Macaca mulatta: one gene and its partner. The protein of the gene in region 1 purifies or fractionates together with the protein of each later gene. This does not show direct contact. Links are inferred from orthologs where the notes say so. Each region holds a gene or a part of one and is shown on either strand. Other genes may lie near its edges.

What was found. Proteins that work in one complex are often made in the same cells at the same time.
Region 2: the proteins of GOLGA7 (region 1) and ZDHHC5 purify together in Homo sapiens (co-immunoprecipitation; 3 studies listed by BioGRID and IntAct, with this or other methods). This does not show direct contact. The link is inferred for Macaca mulatta from reciprocal best matches to the Homo sapiens genes GOLGA7 and ZDHHC5.

The regions. Positions count from the first base shown.
Region 1 is NC_133413.1:43,566,218-43,576,871, reverse strand, and holds part of GOLGA7 (golgin subfamily A member 7), read right to left. Parts: intron 6,157-10,654; coding exon 6,004-6,156; intron 1-6,003. UniProt on the Homo sapiens protein: May be involved in protein transport from Golgi to cell surface. The ZDHHC9-GOLGA7 complex is a palmitoyltransferase specific for HRAS and NRAS.
Region 2 is NC_133419.1:15,690,977-15,700,736, forward strand, and holds the end of ZDHHC5 (palmitoyltransferase ZDHHC5), read right to left. Parts: intron 8,738-9,760; coding exon 8,614-8,737; intron 7,910-8,613; coding exon 7,797-7,909; intron 6,251-7,796; coding exon 5,391-6,250; intron 4,627-5,390; coding exon 4,461-4,626; 3' UTR 4,128-4,460; downstream 1-4,127. Other genes in the region: MED19 (mediator of RNA polymerase II transcription subunit 19), read left to right, coding at 151-245, 444-512. UniProt on the Homo sapiens protein: Palmitoyltransferase that catalyzes the addition of palmitate onto various protein substrates such as CTNND2, CD36, GSDMD, NLRP3, NOD1, NOD2, STAT3 and S1PR1 thus plays a role in various biological processes including cell adhesion, inflammation, fatty acid uptake, bacterial sensing or cardiac functions.

The sequences.
Region 1 (10,654 bases):
CTAATTACCTGAAGCAATGCATGTATCATTCTCCTATTTTCAGCACTCAAAAGAATTTGAGCTGTGCTTGGTCTTTATGAGCAAAAAAATCCCTTAGGCACTATCTTCACATCAGAGTTTGTCAATCATCCTAAAATAATGAATAGAAGGAAGTAGCCCATAAAGGTGCCCAACTAAGGCCTCTCAATCTTCTCTCCAATTTCCTTCTCAGCTCACCTGCCAGAATTGGAAACTGGAGACTCAGTCTCCCTTCACGCCAGTCCATTAATACTAAGGAAGACACTCAGAAAAATGCCTGCATGGCTGGTTTCAAAGAAAGGATTCCTTCAGAACAGCTTTCCGTCTCCTTTCTCTGAGTACAGGTTACGAGCAAAGAAACAGCAACAGCATTCTTTTATTTGGTTCAAGTATCACTTTGTTGGGCAAGTTTTCTGTTTTTTTTTTTTTTTAATAAACTTTAGTAACATTGATATGCACTTGGGTATCAGTTCAGAAAGAAAACAATCAGTTTTCCTTTTTGTATAAGCTCTAAATCTTCTTATACTATTGTGGTGAAGGCAACACTCTCCTAAATAAGATGCTTTAAAACTCTTAGTCTCAAAATAAAAATAAAATAAAAATTAAAACAAACAAACGATAAAAGTCTTAGTCTCTTTAATAGCGGAAAAGCATTAATATGTGTAAACTCATACCACAATCTCAGAAAGGACAAAGCGCCATTCTCACCCCCAAGAAATCATATGTTGACATTTTATTCACACTTTATTATTTTTGGTAAATCAATGTCAAAGTAAACCATAATATTTAACAAAGTTATCTGTCACTCTCAAATCCTCAACAAAACTTCAATTTGTATAATATTTACAAAGTGAAACACAATCAAATCTTGGAAAAAACTACTGTCTTCCCTGAGGATATTCAACTGGAGAAAGCCTTCCAGCCCTTCAAGAAAAATAGCCTGATTGAGGCTAAGTAACACCACATCTTACTGTTTTCAGAACATATCCAAGTTCTCTCCTGTGTTCCTTCTAGACATTCTGCACATGGGCAGAAGGGATGTTTTCTAGTTCATGAACAAGGCAGAGAGATACTGAGAGGAGAACGTTCCACGAGCCCATTTGTTCCCTAATTATCATGGGTAGCAACAATAGAGAAGTAACACTGAAGTCTTTATCTTCATTTTAAATCAATAAATAGCACATTATAGGGAAAAATGCATGATTGTTCTAGTGAGTTTTAAAAGGCCTATTTACAATTTCAAAACATTTAACACACATGACAAAGTATAAGCACTGTTATATTTGGCTTACTGTTTGTAGACTAGGAATTTCGGTGTTTAAAACAATAGAGACTAAATGACTCAACCCCGTCCTTTCGTAAGTAGAAAATAATAGCACAAAAATTCCTGAGAGACAAACTGGGAAAGGGAGAGGGCAACTGTGCTTACATTTTAATCATTTTATCAAAACACAAATACACACTTCTATTAAAAGTATAGGTATATCATATCTTAACTATGATCATTCCAGTTATTAATTTTGCACAATCTAGTTATCCGTGTTCACTTTCTACAAAATATCACCTATTTTTAAAATGTGGCCATGCCTTAAATTTGGTTTCTGGATTGATTTTACTTGGTCTTTACTTGCTTTATAACATTTGCTTTATAAAAAGAAAAGGGCCTTGCTTAGACCTATAAAATAGGACCTTACACAATGTCTACAAATCCAAGCTAAAACACATATTGGGATCAACCAATTTCCATTGAATTTCTGGTATCAAGGACCATCTTCCAAGATTTCATAATTGGAAGGATTTTAATTGAGAGCTAAGTATTTTCAGCACCCAAATAAACTAGCAGCTGACTAAAAGATCACTTATACTTGAAAATAAAAAATCATATGTGAGTTCACAAATATCTGATTAAAACTTACATAGGTAACTTCATTAAAATCTATCTTGGCTGGCCACAATGGCTCATGCCTGTAGCCCTCGCACTTTGGGAGGACGAGATGGGAGGATCACTTGAGGCCAGGAGTGCAAAACCAGCCTAGCCAACATAGTGAGACCCCATCTCTAGTTTTTTTTTTTTTTTTAAAAAAGTAATAAAGGCTGGGTGCTGGGTGCAGTGGCTCACGCCTGCAATCTTAGAACTTTGGGGGGCCAACGCAGGTGGATTACTTGAGGCCAGGAGTTCGAGACCAGCCTGGTCAACGTGGTGAAACTTCATCTCTACTGGCACAAGAATCACTTGAACCCAGGAGGTGGAGGAGTGGGATCACACCACTGCATTCCAGCCCGGGCGACAGAGTGAGACTCTGTCTCAATAATAAAAAAAAAAGAAAAAAAGAAAAAAAATCGACCTCAAGAAAACACTGTTTATTAAGCACTAACCACATGTGAAGAAAATTATGAATTCTAATATCCATATTACAGTTGAGAGAATTCAGAGAGATTAATTTGTCCAAGATCTCATAATTCGTATAAACTGACTAGCACCCAATTACCAATTTCTTTTTACAAATGACATCAGTACTTCTATTTCAGCAAATATACTTTGACAAATACAATTAAAATTTTATCAACAAATGTAATGACAACTCAAGCCTTTTAATATTTCACTAAGCATGAATAAAATACTCAAGAGATGTGCTTCTACCTTAAATTAGCAATATTATGGACTTCTGTAAATAGCCATTCTGGATGATAAAGTTTCTACCCATATGAATTCAGCTTTACCCAACCCTCCTACATTCATGCCGACTATCAACATATCCCTTGGAGCTGGTCACCTCTTTGCACCTCCCCTGCTCCCTTCCTAGTCCAGGCTATCTCACTCTTGCCTGGACTTCTGTGGAACTTCCTCACTTGTTTCCCTACTTCTATTCTTATGCCTTTTTTCCACAAAGCAAAGAGATCTCTTTAAAATGAAAATCTTGCTGGGCACAGCAGCTCATCCCTTTAATCCCAATACTCTGAGAGGCTGAGGTGGGAGGATCGCTTGAGCCCAGGAGTTCGAGACCAGTGTGGACAACACAGTGAGACCCTGTTTCTATTACAAAAATAAATAAAATGAAAATCTGATCACATCACTCTCTTAATACTTTGAGTAGCTTCCCACTTGCACTAAAAATAAAATCTATACTTCGTTCCATGAACTAGGCACTCCAAGCTACAGCTCCTGCTTACCTCTCCAAATCCACCTCCCATCATTCTCTGCCCCTCCTCTCCTGTGCATCACCTTCTCTCAGTTCTCAGGGTCCATCAAGCTCTCTGGGCCTTTGTGTATGTTCATCTTTCTGCCTTAATGCCCCAGGCTTTTCATCCTTCATGCAACAGCTTAAATGTCACCACCTCAGAGGCCTCTTTTGACCATACACCCTGGATTAGGTCCTGCCTATTATTTTCTACCACAGGCCAGTTTGTTTCCTTTAAGGCACTTATCATAATGTGTAATTTTGTTGTCTTTGTTCCCTTGTTATTATCAGCTGTCACCACTTAATTATGAACTCCACAAGGTCAGCAACCATGTTTGTCCTGTTCGGTTATGTGCCAGCACTTTGCTTAGCACATAGTAGGCTTTCCAATAGTTACTGAGCAAACAAATCCCCTGAGCCTTCACTCACTGAAAGTATTAGAGAGGAGATACACTGAAACAGACTGAAAGCTGACACTGAGCCTTGATAATTTCTGATTTTGAAAGTTAAACAGGAATGAAAGCTTCTCTCTGTGGTATTGATATGGAAGGGAAGAGCATGGTCCCTTCAAAAGGACACAGAAGCAGGCAGGTAGGGAAGTGCTGGGTGGAGAAGGGCGTGGTCCCTGGCTAGCACTCCACCTCCAGGCCTGTGCCCAGTAGGTGAAGACAGGCATTTTTGTTTTCCTGCCCAAAAGCTGCAAGTCCACCCTGGCCTGCCACGCCCCCATCCTGTGCCTATAAAAGCCCTGAGACCCTAGTAGGCAGGCAAACAGGCGGCTGGATGTCGAGAGGTGAACATTAGTGGAGGAACACACAGGTGGCTGGATGTCGAGAGGAACACACTGGCGTAGGAGCACACTGGCACACCGGTAGGCCATCAATTGGCAGAATCATGCAGAGTTTGGCCAGGATGGTTGGAGAAGAGTTCGGTCGTTGAGCAGCCTGACTCCAGGGGAAAACCATCTCCCTTCTGGCTCCCCCATTTGCTGAGAGCTACTTCCACTCAACAAAACCTTGCACTCATTCTCCAAGCCCACATGTGATCCGACTCTTCTGGTACACCAAGGCAAGAACTCTGGGATACAGAAAGCCCTCTGGCCTTGCGATAAGGCAGGGGTCTAACTGAGTTAACACAAGCCGCCTATGGACAGCTAAACTAAAAGAGCACCCTGTAACATATGCTCACTGGGGCTTCAGGAGCTGTAAAATATTCACCCCTAGACACTGCCGTGGGGTTGGAGCCCCACAGCCTGCCCATCTGTATGCACCCCTAGAGGTTTGAGCAGCAGGGTACTGAAGAAGCAAGTCACACCCCATCGCACACCCTGCGAGGGGGACAAGAGAACTTTTCCTGTTTCAACATGGGGAAGGATATAAATAACTATACTTAAATAGACCTGTTTATATGAGATGGAATTATAGTAACAGGATGGTAATGAAGAATACAACAGCATTTTCAGCCAACAGCTCCAAAAACTTTAGCTGCAACTATATGCACTCTCCACTACATGGAGTGTAAGACATTTCTATCAGATGGGGTATGATATATTCTTATAGCATTTCGTTTTCTGAGCACTGTCAGAATTTAGTGATATACCAGGGCTACCGTGATTAATTTACAGTCATTTATTTAACATATATTCAATGAGTGCCTGATATACCCAAGGCATGGTGTCAGGCATAAAGAGGGATACAAAATGGTTAAGGCATTGTCCTCAAGAAAAATACATACTTGAAAGGCAAATAAGACAAGAACATAAACTGCTACATTCCAAAGAAGAGTGAGGCAAGTGCCATAAAACAGATACAAATAAAATGTAGGGACACAAGAGAAGAGAAAGAATTCTGACTAAAATAGAGAAAAAGTTAGATGAAAGTGACACCCAAGGGACTGGTGGGATTTGAACCTGGGAAGATAGCATTCCAGGTGGAGAACCACAGTGGGTATGTTTGCTGACCAGTGAGGGATGGAGTTTGGCTGAGGGAGAAAGTGAAGGAAGGAATGGGAGGCAGCGCTGGAAAGGTAAGCTGCGGTCAGCTTGAGCAGGGCCTTGAACTTTACTCAGTGGTAAAACATGGGAAGCCAGGGAAGGTCTCTGACTTGGCAGAAGCAGTAAGGGAAGTAAATCTGTGTTTTATAAAAACAGCAGCAGATAATTTAGAAAAGCAAAAGGAGGGAAGAAATGAGACAAGTCACACTATTTCAATAGTCTAGGAGAGACAGAATAAGGGCATAACCTAGGATAGAGGCAGAGGAAATCACAAAAAGTGAATGACTGTGAAAATGAAAGATATTTCAGTCTTTGAAAACAGATTAATTTTTCCCTCTTCTTCATCCCTCATGCCCAAAGATGGTATTGAAAAGACAGGGGTGCTACTGACAAAATGGGGAGGTGGGAGGTTTGACTTCTGGTCATCTTAAGTTGGGAAATAAGCAATTCAGGAGCTAGCAGCCAACTGGGAAGAGAAGGTAAGAACTCAGGTGGGAGAAGAGAGTGACATTTAGGGAAATAAAGTAAAAACATTCCCAGAAAGCTGAGTAGGAAGAGAACATAAAGATTTTCTACATTCTTCTTAAGTGTAGGCCAGTCTGAACATTGACACGTCAACTGCAAGTGGACATACCAACTGTAACCTGTTTTGAAAGACTCAGGACTATGTGCCTCTGTACATCGGAACACAATTTGAATGATAAATGCCCCTAAATATTTTATGGCAACTATCACCGTGTAAGCATTCATGTGTAATAAGCTTGCCTTCTTCATGATTTTAAGAGATTTTTGTGAAAACAAAAGTAGCGTTACCTTCTCATAATGAGTTTCCATGCATAGGAAGATGGTATATGCTGTTAAACAAGCCAAACAACCTTCGAGATATGATTGGCCGCCAAGCTTCTCTGCTTCTGCATAAAGGTTATTTAGAGTTCGAACTGTTTCTTCAAACTGCTGCCTATCAATCTGTAGAGAAGAAAAGAATTTAAAAATAAGTTTTGGAAAAAAAAAATCAACTTACTAATGCATGCTATCAATAATGTATCTTGTTTTGTCACCATTCTTAGCCACTAGTTGACAATTTTTTTGGTGATTAAATCTGGGCCTAAGTTACCAAAACTGCTTAGTTTGTCTAATTTTATCCCTCTATAAATACTGGATAGCTTCAAGGCTCAATAAGGTACTTCTTTATTCTTTCTACTAAATTTCAAGTAACTCTAGACTTTGTTCCTCTTTCCATTCATTTAGATTCACAAATATTTACTGAGCACCTACTATCAGATACTATGAAAAACCTCAAGATACAGCACTGTCTCAATCCTCAAGAGTTTCATTATGCAAGCAGAGCAGGTATGTAAACATAAAAATGCAAAAAGCTGGCCGGGCGCGGTGGCTCACACCTGTAATCCCAGCACCTTGGGAGGCCGAGGCATGCAGATCACGAGGTCAGGAGATCGAGACCATCCTGGCTAACATGGTGAAACCCTGTCTCTACTAAAAATACAAAAAAAATTAGTCGGCCATGGTGGCGGGTGCCTGTAGTCCCAGCTACTGGGGAGGCTGAGGCAGGAGAATGGCATGAACCTGGGAGGCGGAGCTTGCAGTGAGCTGAGATCGCGCCACTGCACTCCAGCCTGGGCGACAGAGCGGGACTCCGTCTCAAAGAAAAAAAAAATGCAGTAAGCTGACAGGGTACTATCATATAGGCAAATATAAAGTCTAGTGGGGCACAAAAGCAAGGAGATATTCCCTTTATCTGGGAAGGGCAGGTAATCTTAAATTGAGTAAGTAAACACTGGAATTTACTAGGCAAGAAAAAAGTGACATTTTAGCAGAAGGATCAAAAGGCGTAGGTTCTATATTCTGTTTACTCAGTCTATCTCTTTTGAAGCAATTCTCTTGTTACTAAATAAGGTAAAATTTGTTAAGGTAAAATCTCAAGCTAATACACAATTTTTCACATCAAGTCATTCATTCTTATTACCTCTCTCTATTTGGTGACACCATTATCTTAAATTTACACTAATACTACTACAGGTTGAGCATCCGTGATTTAAATTCTGAAGTCAGAAAGGCTCCAAAATCTGAAACTTTTGAGCACTGGCATGACACCACAAGTGGAAAATTCCACACCTGACCTCATGTGAGGGGTCACAGTCAAAATGCAGGTGCACAACACATAGTTTATTCAGTGTCCCCAAGGGAAAAAGACCCTTCCAGCCCCCGTCAGCTGCCATGTACCTTTTCCATGCACAGCCAGATTCTCCCATGCAAGCACGCTCACAAAAGGTGGTAAGATGGTTCAGTGTACACACACTTTGTCTCATAAAGTCATTTAAAATATTGTATAAAATTACCTTCAGGTTATACGTATAATAAGGTAGATATAAAACATAATGAATTTCATGTTCACACTTGGATCCCAACCCCAAGATATCTCATTAGTATAAACAAATATTTCAAAATCTAAAAAAACCCCCAAATCTGAAATACTTCTGGTTCTACATATTTCACATAAGAAAGAACCTGTACTGTCATCCATCGTTTCACTCCATCATCTGCTTTTACTTTATTCTCCCAATATTACTTTACTGTCTTCTAATAGTACTTTGTATAACAGATTTCAAATTTTGCTACTTCATCCTAGGATTTTCAAGGCCCATTAGGAGAGCATTCATCCAATACTGCCATTATCTGTCTGTACTCTAGGCCTTCTCTCGCATAAGGATTCCCTTATTTCTAAAATTAGTAAATACTTACATATGAATTCTCTCTTTTATGAAGTCTTTATTTAAAGACTTTTTTTGTTTGGCTTTTTTTTTTTTTTTCCTTTCCTGGTCTCTGCGAACCTATTAAGTCTTGCTTTATAATAGAAATAGACTCAGAAAAAAAAAAATTAGGCTAGAGATGAAACCTCATCTCTACTAAAACTACAAAAATTAGTAGGGAATGGTGGTGCACGCCTGTAATCCCAGCTACTCGGGAGGCTGAGGCACAAGAATCACTTGATCCTGGCACCAGAGGTTACAGTAAGCCAAGACTGCGCCACTGTACTCCAGCCTGCGTGACAGAGTGAAACTGTCTCAACAAAAAAAAAAAAAAAAAAAAAAAAAAAAAGATTGGCTAGGGTACACAATCTAGTACCCTAGACTGAGCTAGTGGCATGATGGCTCATGCCTATAATCCCAGCATTTGGGAGGCTGAGGTGGGTGGATCACTTGAGCTCAGGAGTTTGAGACCAGCATGGGCAACATGGTGAAACTCTGTCTCTACTAAAAATGCAAAAATTAGCCAGGCGTGGTGGCGCATGCCCATAGTCCCAGCTACTCAGGAGGCTGAGGTGGGAGGATTGCTGGAGCCTGGGAAGTGGAGGTTGCAGTGAACCGAGATCTCACCACGGCACTCCAGTCTGGGTGACAGAGTGAGACTCTGTCTCAAAAAAAGAAAAAAAAAAAATCCTCAACATACAGTATGAGCCCTACTATTCCCAAGAACATAATCTTTTTTTTTTTTTTTGAGACAGAGTCTCACTGTGTCACCCAGGCTGGAGTACAGTGGCACAATTTTGGCTCACTGTAACCTCTGGTGCCAGGATCAAGTGATTCTCGTGCCTCAGCCTCCCGAGTAGCTGGGATTACAGGCGTGCACCACCATTCCCTACTAATTTTTATATTTTTAGTAGAGACGAGGTTTCACCATGTTGGCCAGGCTGGTCTCAGACTCCTGGCCTCATGTGATCCACCCCCCTGTCCTCCCAAAGTGCTGGGATTACAGGCATGGGCCACCTGCACCTGGCCCCAAGAACATCATCTTTCAAAGTGTAAAAAATTCATGACCATCCTTAAGCTATGACAATTCTTTAAGTTAGAAGCAGTTGTTGTCATTGTTTTGTCCACTGTGTGGAAAATGTGAGGAGTCAATGAGCCAGTGGCATGCATGAATTTAATGTAACCTTTAAAGTGGTGTTGGCTCGACCCATTTTTCAAAAGGAGTTAAATTTCCAGGAATATTAGAGATTTGGACAAAGGCTAGGTGGGTCAAGACGGCCTTTAAGCGCAGGGGCAGTGTTTCTTCACTGAGCTACCCCTTGAAGATGTGGTGTCAAGGCTGGTCATCTGGGAAACTGTCAGAGTTCTCATTCACGAAAACAGACTGAGAAGAGCTCAGCAAACAAAAATGGTAAGCTGTTATGTTCACCTAATTATGCCTTCAGTTTGTCTACCGATAAGTCCACAAAAGTCTAAATAATTCCAATCACATTTGATGTGCTTATAAGTCATTGAATTACTTATGTTTCTTTACAATACAATTCAAAACCATGGGATTCAACCCAGAAACATCTTATTTCTTTCATATTAGAATTACTATTTATCCAGGAAACCCTAATTATTATTATTTTTTAAGTTTAGAGACAGAGTATCGCTATCTTGCCCAGACTGGTCTTGAACTCCTGGCCCCAAGTGATGCTCCTACCTCAACCTCCAGAGCAACTGGGATTACTTGGGTGCAAACCATCATGCCCAGCCAGAAACACTAATTCTTATGCGTTATTCTGAGACTACAATGCCTTATAGGATAGAGGTAAATCATATGTCAGTTAAACAAACAAATAAAAAAAAAAAAAGGTTAATAAAAAAATTTAAAAAAAGGATAAACGGTTAAAGTAAATGCCAACACATTTTTCAAAGGTTATTTTAAAAAAGGGAAATAAAGGGTAAAAATCACAGAAGGCATCAGTAAAGGCAAACAACAAACTTCACAAGAAAGGGCTCAAGAGAACAAATGTTGGCATTTGTATCTCACTACCTTTAGGTTATGAAAAACAGTGGCCAGTGTTCTCCCTTAGGTTCCTGGACACTGATACAGGAGCTCTATCAAAATTTAGATATATGAGAAGTCAGAGCCAAATAAAATTTGGACCCACAAACATCAAAAGTCAGAATGGAAAGAGAAATCAGGCTCATTTTCTCAGAATTTTTGTTTCGTGCTGAACTACATAGTAGAAAGCATGGTGAAGCCTGCAGTGATCACGTATCAAGGGTGGCAGGTCAATGGTAATTACTAACCAGAAGGGGAGACATATTTTTAAAGGGAAATAAGGGAACAAATGCCTCAATTACAGTTCACTCATTCTTCTACCCAGACCAAGGGTAACTAAGGTATCTGTATTTTGGCTAATGAGAATAAAGCTTCCTTTAAGGAACTGTTCTGGCAACAAATCGCTTAAGCATCAAAGTAGTACATTCTAAAAGCCAGCAGAGAAAATGAACTTGTTAACAGACAGAACCTATCCTACTCCCAAATTAAAGGGCACAAATGTGTATGTATTTTTTAAAAAATGCTTTAAAATAACACAGAACACTTGCATATTAGTCTCTTTCTCTATTACGTTGCCAAGTGTGATGTTCTCACAAAAAGAAAATCAGCTCCAACAGCAGAGCAATCAGTAAAATTTCTAGGGTAA
Region 2 (9,760 bases), on another chromosome or scaffold:
ACGGGGACTGTAGCAGCACCTCTGTATCCTTTTTGGCCATTTGGACAAAAGCAGTTGCCCCGACTTGGGATTTTCCTGTAGTCTTCAGTGGTTCATAACAGTAGAGGATTTTGAGCTTTATGGGTGATAGGTACCTAATGTCTCCTACAGAAACACCATCTGATTCAGATCACAAGAAGAAGAAAAAGAAAAAAGAAGAGGATCCTGAACGGAAAAGGAAGAAGAAAGAGAAGAAGAAAAAGAAGGTAGAGTAGAGGCCTATTGCCACAACCCAGTGATTTTCCCTAGATCTCACCCCTGTCCTAAATACCCTAAAGAGTTCTTTGCCTCAAGTTGGACCCACGATTGAAAACCCAAGGCAGGTTACAGGTTTCTCCTGTACAGCCTGATCAAAGCCAAGGCTAGTTCCTAGTTGTTCTTACCCCTCCTTCTTTCTCTCCCAGAACCGGCATAGTCCAGACCACCCAGGTATGGGCAGCTCCCAAGCCAGCAGCAGCAGCAGCCTACGCTAACAGGACCACTGGACTCTTTGCCAGGATGGCTTTTCCTGCTGTACTGAACCTGCTGACAAAAGCTGCCTTCCAGGCTCTTGGACACTGCCTTGGGAGCATCCTGCAGCTGGGACAGAGACCAGCTCCTGTTGGGCTCAGTTGAGACTAAGTACATTAGGAGAGAGAGGGACATGCTTTTGTAGGCTCATCCCAGTTGGTTTTCTCATGGACATCTCCCAGGAAGCTTACAGTTTTCTTCTCTCTCTGTTGTGCAATTTGTCTGATTTAGGACTTGTTCTGTTTTTTCTTAAAAAAAAAAAATTACATTTATCAAATTGGCTGAAGTGTGACTGCTGTTAAGAGGTATGTTCTGTGAGTCAGGATTTAAGACAAGGCATTGCTAAGACTTGAGGGGATTTGGGTCTTGTTGTTACATTATGCAGGGAACCAACCAAAATGAAAAATGACCCAAGCTTACTAATACTCCACAGCAGACACAGAACACTCTGCCCGTTATGTTAAGAACCAGGCGCCTGGGTGATCTCAGGCTCCATCTGAAGAGCTGATCCAGGTAGGGCTCAACAGTGTATTCTAGGTCAATTTTGTGTTGAAACAGAATAGCCAACTGAAAACACATGGACAGTCACCCATGTATTTCAACAAGATTGGTTTCTTAGGTCAGAAGCCTGTGATCTTTTGAAATGAACTTCTGGCAAGCAAAGGTAAATGCTTCTCTTCTCTTTACAATAACTTTTGACCTGCTTCACTCCTTAGTTAAGACAATAAAGTTAGTTAGCTGATGTGAAAACATTTCTAAAACAGCAACAAAATGTAACCTAACCTATCAAAATGTTTAAAAAAAAAAAACCTTTAGTTTTTCCAGCTGGTTAGGTAACTGAAAACATCCATGAGAAAACCTGAATTAATGTAACCTGACTTTAAATTTAACACACAGTTAAAATCTGTTGCTGTGAAAGCCAAGTTTGTTCCTCAATCAGTGGGTGGAAAACCACTCATTCAACTGGTTTAAATCCAGATTTCAGAATAAGAGTTTGCTGGGGTGTTTTTTTTTTTTGGACAGAGTCTCACTCTGTTACACAGGAATGCAGTGGCGTGATCTCGGCTCACTGCAACCTCTACCTTCTGGGTTCAAGTGATTCTTGTACCTCAGCCTCCCAAGTGGCTGGGACTACAAGTGCGTGCCACCAGGCCTGGCTAATTTTTGTTTATATATATATATATATATATATATATATATATATTTTTTTTTTTTTTTTTTTTAATTAATTTTGGAGACAGAGTCTTGCTCTGTTGCCCACGCTAGGGTGCAGTAGTGCAATCTCAGCTCACTGCAACCTGTGCCTCCTGGGTTCAAGTGATTCTCCCACCTCAGCCTCCCAAATAGCCAGGATTATAGGTACCCATGACCAATGCCCAGCTCATTTTTGCATTTTTAGTACAGATGGGGTTTCACCATGTTGTCCAGGCTGGTCTTGAACTCCTGACCTCAAGTGATCTACCCACCTCAGCCTCCCAAAGTGCTGGGATTACAGGCGTGAGCCACCGCACCGAAGAGTTTATATTCTTACATTTTGAGTAATTAAAGGGTTCTGGCCAACTGCTGGAGATTTAGCATCTAAGGATACCTACTGAAAATTAAGAGCACAGCTTTTGTCCAATAGAAGACAGTCTATCTAATTGAACTGACACCAGTATCTAGTTAACCTGCTTTCAACAGGCTTTCGTATCTATCTCACCTTTGGCTGTTTCCAAAATTAGCTTTACTTTCCAGAGACTAAATCCTGTATTAAAAAAACAACTGTAGGCCGGGCACGGTGCAGTGGTTCACGCCTGTAATCCCAGCACTTTGGGAGGCGGAGGCGGGTGGATCACGAGATCAGGAGAGTGAGACCATCCTGGCTAACACAGTGAAACCCCGTCTCTACCAAAAATGCAAAAAATTAGACAGGCTTGGCGGCGGGCGCCTGTAGTCCCAGCTGCTTGGGAGGCTGAGGCAGGAGAATGGTGTGAACCTGGGAGGCGGAGCTTGCAGTGAGCCGAGATCACGCCACTGTACTCCAGCCTGGGCAACTGAGCAAGACTCCCAAAAAAAAAAAAAACAGCTGTAGCTGGGCATGGTGGCTCATGCCTGTAATCCCAGCGCTTTGGGAGGCCAAGGCAGGACTGCTCAAGGCCAGAAGTTCGAGACCAGCCTGGGCAAAATTGGTCGAGAGCCTATTTCTACTGAAAAAAAAAAAAATAAGCATGGTGGCATGCCGCTGTAAGTCCTAGCTTCTCAGAAGGTTGAGGTGGGAAGACCCTTGAGGCCAGGAGTTTGAGGGTATAGTGATCTGATTGTGCCACTGCCCTCCAGCCTAAGCAACCAGAATGAGGCCCTGTCTCTTAAAAGAAGAAAGAAACAATTTTTAAGAGTTCTCTAAGCTTTCAAATAACAGCTTTGGTGGTTTCAAGAGACTTTTTTTCCAGGTATTTTTAAATTAAATTACCCAAATAAAAACAGGACCTGTTGTTTTTAGAAATTGAGTCTCTATGTTGCCAAGGTTGGCCTGGAACTCCTGGGTTCATGTGATCCTCCTGCCTCAGCCTCCCTCAGTGCTGGGATTACAGGCATGAGCCACCACACTCGGTCTCTATTTTTTTAGTAGTAGTTGTTTTAAGTGGCTAATTTCATTATAGTCTTGCCTAAAGAAGGGCTGGGACCAGAGAAGCTTATGAGTTTGTCACTGTGGTAACTTCCCACCAGAAATCGTTCACCTTGTCTCAACCAGACAAAATAACACAAGTCAGGGGGCGCTGGTTAGATCAGGATTTCTTTTTATTCCTCGTTGGTTTAAAATGGCTAATCAGAATAAAAAATAAAAGGGCCTCTTTGTGGAGGCTGGGATCTCCCCTATTTAGAGGTTAGAACCCAGGTATCCCCTCTACCCAGCACCATAGTGAGGTGGGCTGAGGGGTAACCCCCAAGGGACAATTGGAGGGGCCTAGGCCTGCCACTCCTTCTCTCTATCCCCCGTTTTTGGCATGTGATGAAAAATATTGCTTTTTGGATTCTTCTCTCCTGGCCTTGGATTTTAAAATCAAGTTAACCGTGTAAGCTAGGGGAGGCTCCAAGGGGCTAGTAGAAGGAGCCCACTCTAATCCCTCTCCCCCAAGGAGGGGATTATCCAGTATTGTTTGAGCTAGGCCAAGTTATTTTCCTGATCTCCCCCCACCACCAGTGTCTTGAAGTTTTGACCCCTTTCCTAGGGAAACTAAATGCCAATGAGCCTAGAAAACTAATTCTCCTCTCCAAGTCCCTCCCTCTTGTGACCAAAATCCCAGACTCGCCTCTCCCCAGGCTTCTTCCTAATCACACTTAGCACCAACAGAGGATGCTATTTCCTTAGTAACTGGAACAAATGAGAGGGAACCACAGGGAAAAGACTGACGTCTCCCCTCTTTTCCTGCTGGTCTGAGGAATGGGAAGAGTAAGATCCCCCTCCATATATGTATCCCTCCCTCATTTTCCCATCCCAGGATAGATATATAATTTCTTTGATATTTATAATATATATATATATATATTATATGTACACACACACCTGGTAACGCAGAAGAGGAAAAAAATAGAATCCGTAACAATAATAAAAAAAATTATTTCTGGTTTAAAAATGATCTGGTTCCCTCCAGGGCGAGCAATTGCACAAATGTCCACTGAGTCTGGTCCAGGGATCAAGGAAGGGAAGGTCTTAAAAGATAAGAGGAGGGGGTTGCTACCCCAGTCTCAGGGCCCCAACTCTCCGACTCCCCAAGCCCACTGCATTTTAGAAAACGCTCCTCATCCTCTTGGAATTGGTGGTTTAAAAAATGTCCATGCAGGGGAGGGGAGCCCCTTGAGGGAAGGAAGGTGGCCACCTGGGGCCCTTTGGTGTAGGCGCAGAGGCGTTGGGGAGGGGAGGCGCCGAAGGCTCACACCGAAATCTCATAGGTGGTACCACCAACCCCTGACACCTTCTTGACTCCTCCCCTCGTGGGGCTACTGAGAGATGGCTGGCCTGGGCCAGGGGAGGCTGAGCCTAAACTCTTGGGCTGCCCATTGGATTTGCTGTAGGCGGTCTTCAGCTGTACTTCATCTCTGGAAAGAAGAGACGAGACAGGTGTCAGGAAATGGTACACAAAACATTGGAAAGGGAGACAGTTTCAAAGGTTCAAAGAAAAAATTGGTGTTCTTTTCTATATCCATACTTTCTTACCCAAACGTCCCCCTTTATTGCCCTGCTTAAAATAAGCCTGATTCCCAATCTCTCCTATTTACTGCTACTCTCTTTTTTTTTTTTTTTTTTTGAGACGGAGTCTCGCTGTGTCACCCAGGGTGGAGTGCGGTGGCCGGATCTCAGCTCACTGCAAGCTCCGCCTCCCGGGTTTTTTTTACGCCATTCTCCTGCCTCAGCCTCCCGAGTAGCCGGGACTACAGGCGCCTGCCACCTCGCCCGGCTAGTTTTTTGTATTTTTTAGTAGAGACGGGGTTTCACCGTGTTAGCCAGGATGATCTCGATCTCCTGACCTCGTGATCCGCCCATCTCGGCCTCCCAAAGTGCTGGGATTACAGGCTTGAGCCACCGCGCCCGGCCCTACTGCTACTCTCTAGTAACAGCTATAACATGTACTTACTCCCAGGCAAATACTTTTAGGAAGATAGGATTATGGAAAAAGTATTAATCTTCAGTCTCTTAACAGGAATTGCCCATGAAGGCAGGTGGAGTCAAAGTGAAAATAAAGAGCTACCAGGATACCCCTGGGTCCACCTACATTAGGATGTACAACAGAAGCCCTGATGGCTTTTGCAGAGCAGTATGCCAATTTGAAATGGCTAAGGGTCAGGATAGTACTAATACTTACTTGGGTGTCAGTAATGGCTGCAAGGCCACTTCTTCTGTCTCAGAGACACCAGGTTGGGCTTTCTGGCTGCTGTAAGACATCGATCGGCCCAGGTATGAGGCCGTTGGGCCTGGTTCAGGGGACCCTACTCCCCGGCCCCTTAGCCCATCTGGCTTGCCAAAACGGGGGGCAGCTGGGCGTCCCAGTGGAGTCTTGCCCAAAGGTGATCTCTTTGAATCATCTGAGGAGGAACTAGTACGAGGGGCATGGCCTGAGCCTGGTGTTGACTGAATGCCTGAGTCCCCCAAGCCTGGTTCCTCCTCACGGCCTGGGAGTGGGGGTGACTGGCGCAGCAACTTCTCTCGTTCCTGGAGGGAGGCCACAATGTGGCGCGACAGATTGTCGTAACGGACTGGTGAGGGCTCTCGGTGTGTTGGGCCAGTTGGCACCAAACGTGGGTGTCTCTCAGCTTCCCGTTGCTGGGCCAGCCTGGCTGACAGGAAGGGAGAGGTATAGCCTAAAGGTGGGTCTGGCTCAGGCCCTGCCTGCACTGACTCAAAATCAGGGCTGTCTGAAGGTGTGAGCAAGCTGTCATAAGATAGGCTTCCATTGCGTGTCTGGTTGGCCAGGCTCTTATAGGAGGTGGAGGTGGTGCCCTCTGAACGAATGGATTGCAACTGGCCCAGCTCAAAGCCTGTGCCCTGGGCTGACTTGAGGCTGGAGGAGCGTGAGCCACTGGATAGTGGATCGAAGTGAAAACTTTTGCCAAAGGTAGGAGAACGGAAGCTCTCTGGTTCCAAGCTGGGCTCTGAGCGGTAGCTGGGATGACGGCTGCTCTCTGCAATTGAGGTTGGCTCCTTCAAGCTGTCCCCACGACTCAACTAAGGAAGAAAGTAAAGCAGGCTCTTAGTGCTCCTCTTGTGACAAGCTAGACCCCGGAGCCCAAGGAGTTGGTCAAAAAGAGTATTATGTGCCAATAATATGCTTAGAACTCTTACATGCATTATGTGGGTTAATCCCTCAAGAAAAACTGAATTCAAACAAATATCTCATTTTCAGATACAGAAAGCAAGGCATACAAAGGTTAAGTATCTCGCCCATGGGCAGAACTGGGTTATAAACTCAGATCAAGCACTAATCTATTATGCTATATTGCCCAGTCTGATGAAGGACACAGTATCAAGGAGATTCAGTTCCACGAATGCCAACAATTAGTGAAATGTACTTTGTTTTCTTCTCTTCCCTTCCCCTAATCTTTTTTTCCCAGAACAGCTGGCATGTGTTTTGTGTGTATGTGTGTGTGTATTTGAGGCAGAGTCTCACCCTGTCGCCCAGTCTGGAGTGTGATAGCACAATCTTGGCTCACTTCAACCTCAGCCTCCCAGGTTCAAACGATTCTCCTGCCTCAGCTGGGATTACAGGCGCCCGCCACCACGCCCAGCTGATTTTTGTATTTTTAGTAGAGATAGGTGTTTTTAGTAGAGATAGGGTTTCACCATGTTGGCCAGGCTGGTCTTTTGCTCCTGACCTCAGGTGGTCTGCCCACCTCGGCCTCCCAAGGTGCTGGGATTACAGGCTTGAGCCACCATGCTTGACCTTCTTTTTTTAATTTTTTTTTTTTGAGGTGGAGTCTCACTCTGTCACCAGACTGGAATCCAACAGTGGGATCTCCGGCTCACTGCAGCCTCCTGAGTAGCTGGGACTACAGGTGCATACCACCACATCCAGCTAATTTTTTTTGTTTGTTTGAGACGGAGTCTCACTCTGTCGCCCAGACTGGAGTGCAGTGGCGCAATCTCGGCTGACTGCAACCTCTACCTCCCAGATTCAAGCGATTCTCCTGCCTCAGCCTCCTGAGTAGCTGGGATTACAGGTGCCCCACCACTACCACGCCCAGCTAATTTTTGTATTTATTCATTTTTTTTGAGACGAGGTCTCAGGCTGGAGTGCAGTGGCGCAATCTCAGCTAACTGCAAGCTCCGCCTCCCGGGTTCACGCCATTCTCCTGGCTCAGCCTCCACGCCTGACTAATTTTTTTGTATTTTTAGTAGAGACAGCGTTTCACTGTGTTAGCCAGGATCATCTTGATCTCCTGACCTCGTGATTCGCCTGCCTTGGCCTCCCAAAGTGCTGGGATTACAGGCGTGAGCCACTGCATCCCGCAATTTTTGTATTTTTAGTAGAGATGGGGTTTCACCATATTGGCCAGGCTGGTCTCGAACTCCTGACCTTGTGATCCACCACGCCTGGCCTAATTTTTGTATTTTCAGTAGAGAAGAAGTTTCACCACGTTGGCCAGGACGGTCTCAATCTCTTGACCTTGTGATCCGCCCACCTTGGCCTCCCAAAGTGCTGGGATTATAGGAATGGGCCACCATGTCCTGTCAGTTGGCATGTTATTACCCCACCTCTTAGAGTACTCAGTACCTTGGCGCTGGAGGAATGCGGCATGGCAGCTGATGTACTGCTGCTACTGTAACCCGGCCGATACTTGTACATGGTAGGTGTCGGAGGGCTGTCCTTGCCCAGTAAGCTGCTATCTGCAAGAAAAAAGGCCAAGGGGGCACTACTTTACAAGCGGTGTTTTGGTTTAAGAGACAGGGTCTCATTCTGCTGTCCACGCTGGAGTGCAAGTGGCACAATTATAGCTCACTGGAGCCTTGAACTCCTGGGCTCCCACCTCAGCCTCCTGAGTAGCTGGACTGCAGGCATATGCCACCATGCCCAGCTAATTTTTTTTTATTTTTTGTAGAGACAGCCTTGCTATGTTGTCCAGGGTGGTCTTAAACTCCTGGGCTCAAGCAATCCTCCTGCATTGGCCTCCCAAAGTGCTGGGATCACAGGTGTGAGCCACTGTGTCTAGCCTATGAGTGGTTCACTTTATCTGCCTAGGGTTCCTTAAGTACAGGTAGAGGACAAGGTAGGGATATACCCTTCGCTGAAATCAAGACTAAAGACTCAAACCAGCTCAGAACTCAGGGTGGATAAATGCACCAAAAAGGTCCTATGATGTTCTCTGGTCTGCCTAGAGGCTGACCATTTTCCCGGCAAAAGTCCCATTCACTGCCAATAGCTAAATGGCATCTCTTCTCTTCCAGTTGCAAAGTGGCACAAGTACCAACTGTTGGGTATTTAAAGTCACAACACAAGTAATATCTCCCAGCCCTCGCATGTCCTCTAAAGCTCATAACCTTCTCAATCCTGCCCCTAGTTCTAGTATCTTACAAATCAAGGCAGCCCTTACCCTCATTAGTAGCCAGGCCGAGGTGTGTTCGCAGCCCCGTGTAACGGCTCAGGTCTGGCTTAGGAGGAGGTGGAGGTTCAGCATCTGCAGACTGGCTCTCTGTTATCTCCAGGCTTCCCTTAGACTGGATTGATGAGGGGAGCGAAAAGTCAGATTTGGAAATTGAGCATTACGGCAACTCACAGTATTAAATTGGTATAAAAGAGAGGTATTTGGGAGTCAATTCTCATGTATTTCCTTTTTTTATTTTCTTTTGAGACAAGGTCTCACTCTTGCCCAGGCTGGAGTACAGTGGCACACGCATGATCATGGCTCACTGCAGCCTGCAACTCTTAGGCTCAAGTGCTCCCTTGAGCCTTGAGCCTTCAACCTCAGCCTCCCAAGTAGCTGGGATTACAGGTACATGCCACCACACCCAGTTAATTTATTTTACTTTATTTTGTAGAGACGGGGGTCTCGCCATGTTGTCCAAGCTGGTCTTGAACCCCTAACCTCAAGCAATACCACCCCACTTTGGCCACCCAAAGTGCTGGGATTATAGACATGAGCCACTGCCTATCATATATTTCTAAACCAGACTGGAAGACAAGGCACAAGAATCAGTTTGGGTATAGTATTAGATGAAGAAAAGGTTTTTTTTGTTTTTTTTTAAATGGAGTCTTGCTCATTCACCCAGGCTGGAGTGCAGTGGTGTGATCTTGGCTCATTGCAACCTCTGGCTTGCAGGTTCAAGCAGTTCTCATGCCTCAGCCTCCCACGCAGCTAGGATTACAGGCATGTGCCACCACACCTGGCTAATTTGTGTTTTTTTTTTTTTTTGAGATGGAGTTTCGCTCTTGTTGCCCATGCTGGAGTGCAACGGGCATGATCTCGGCTCACTGCAACCTCCACCTCCTGGCTTCAAGCAATTCTCCTGCCTCAGCCTCCCAAGTATCTGGGATTACAGGCAAGGGCCACCACGCCCAACTAATTTTATATTTTTAATAGAGATGGGGTTTCTCCATGTTGGTCAGGCTGGTCTTGAGCTCCTGACCTCAGGTGATCTACCCACCTCAGCCTCCCAAAGTGCTGGGATTACAGGCGTGAGCCACTGCGCTCAGCCAGAAAAGTTTTCTATTTTTTATTTTACTCTGTTTTAGAGATGGAG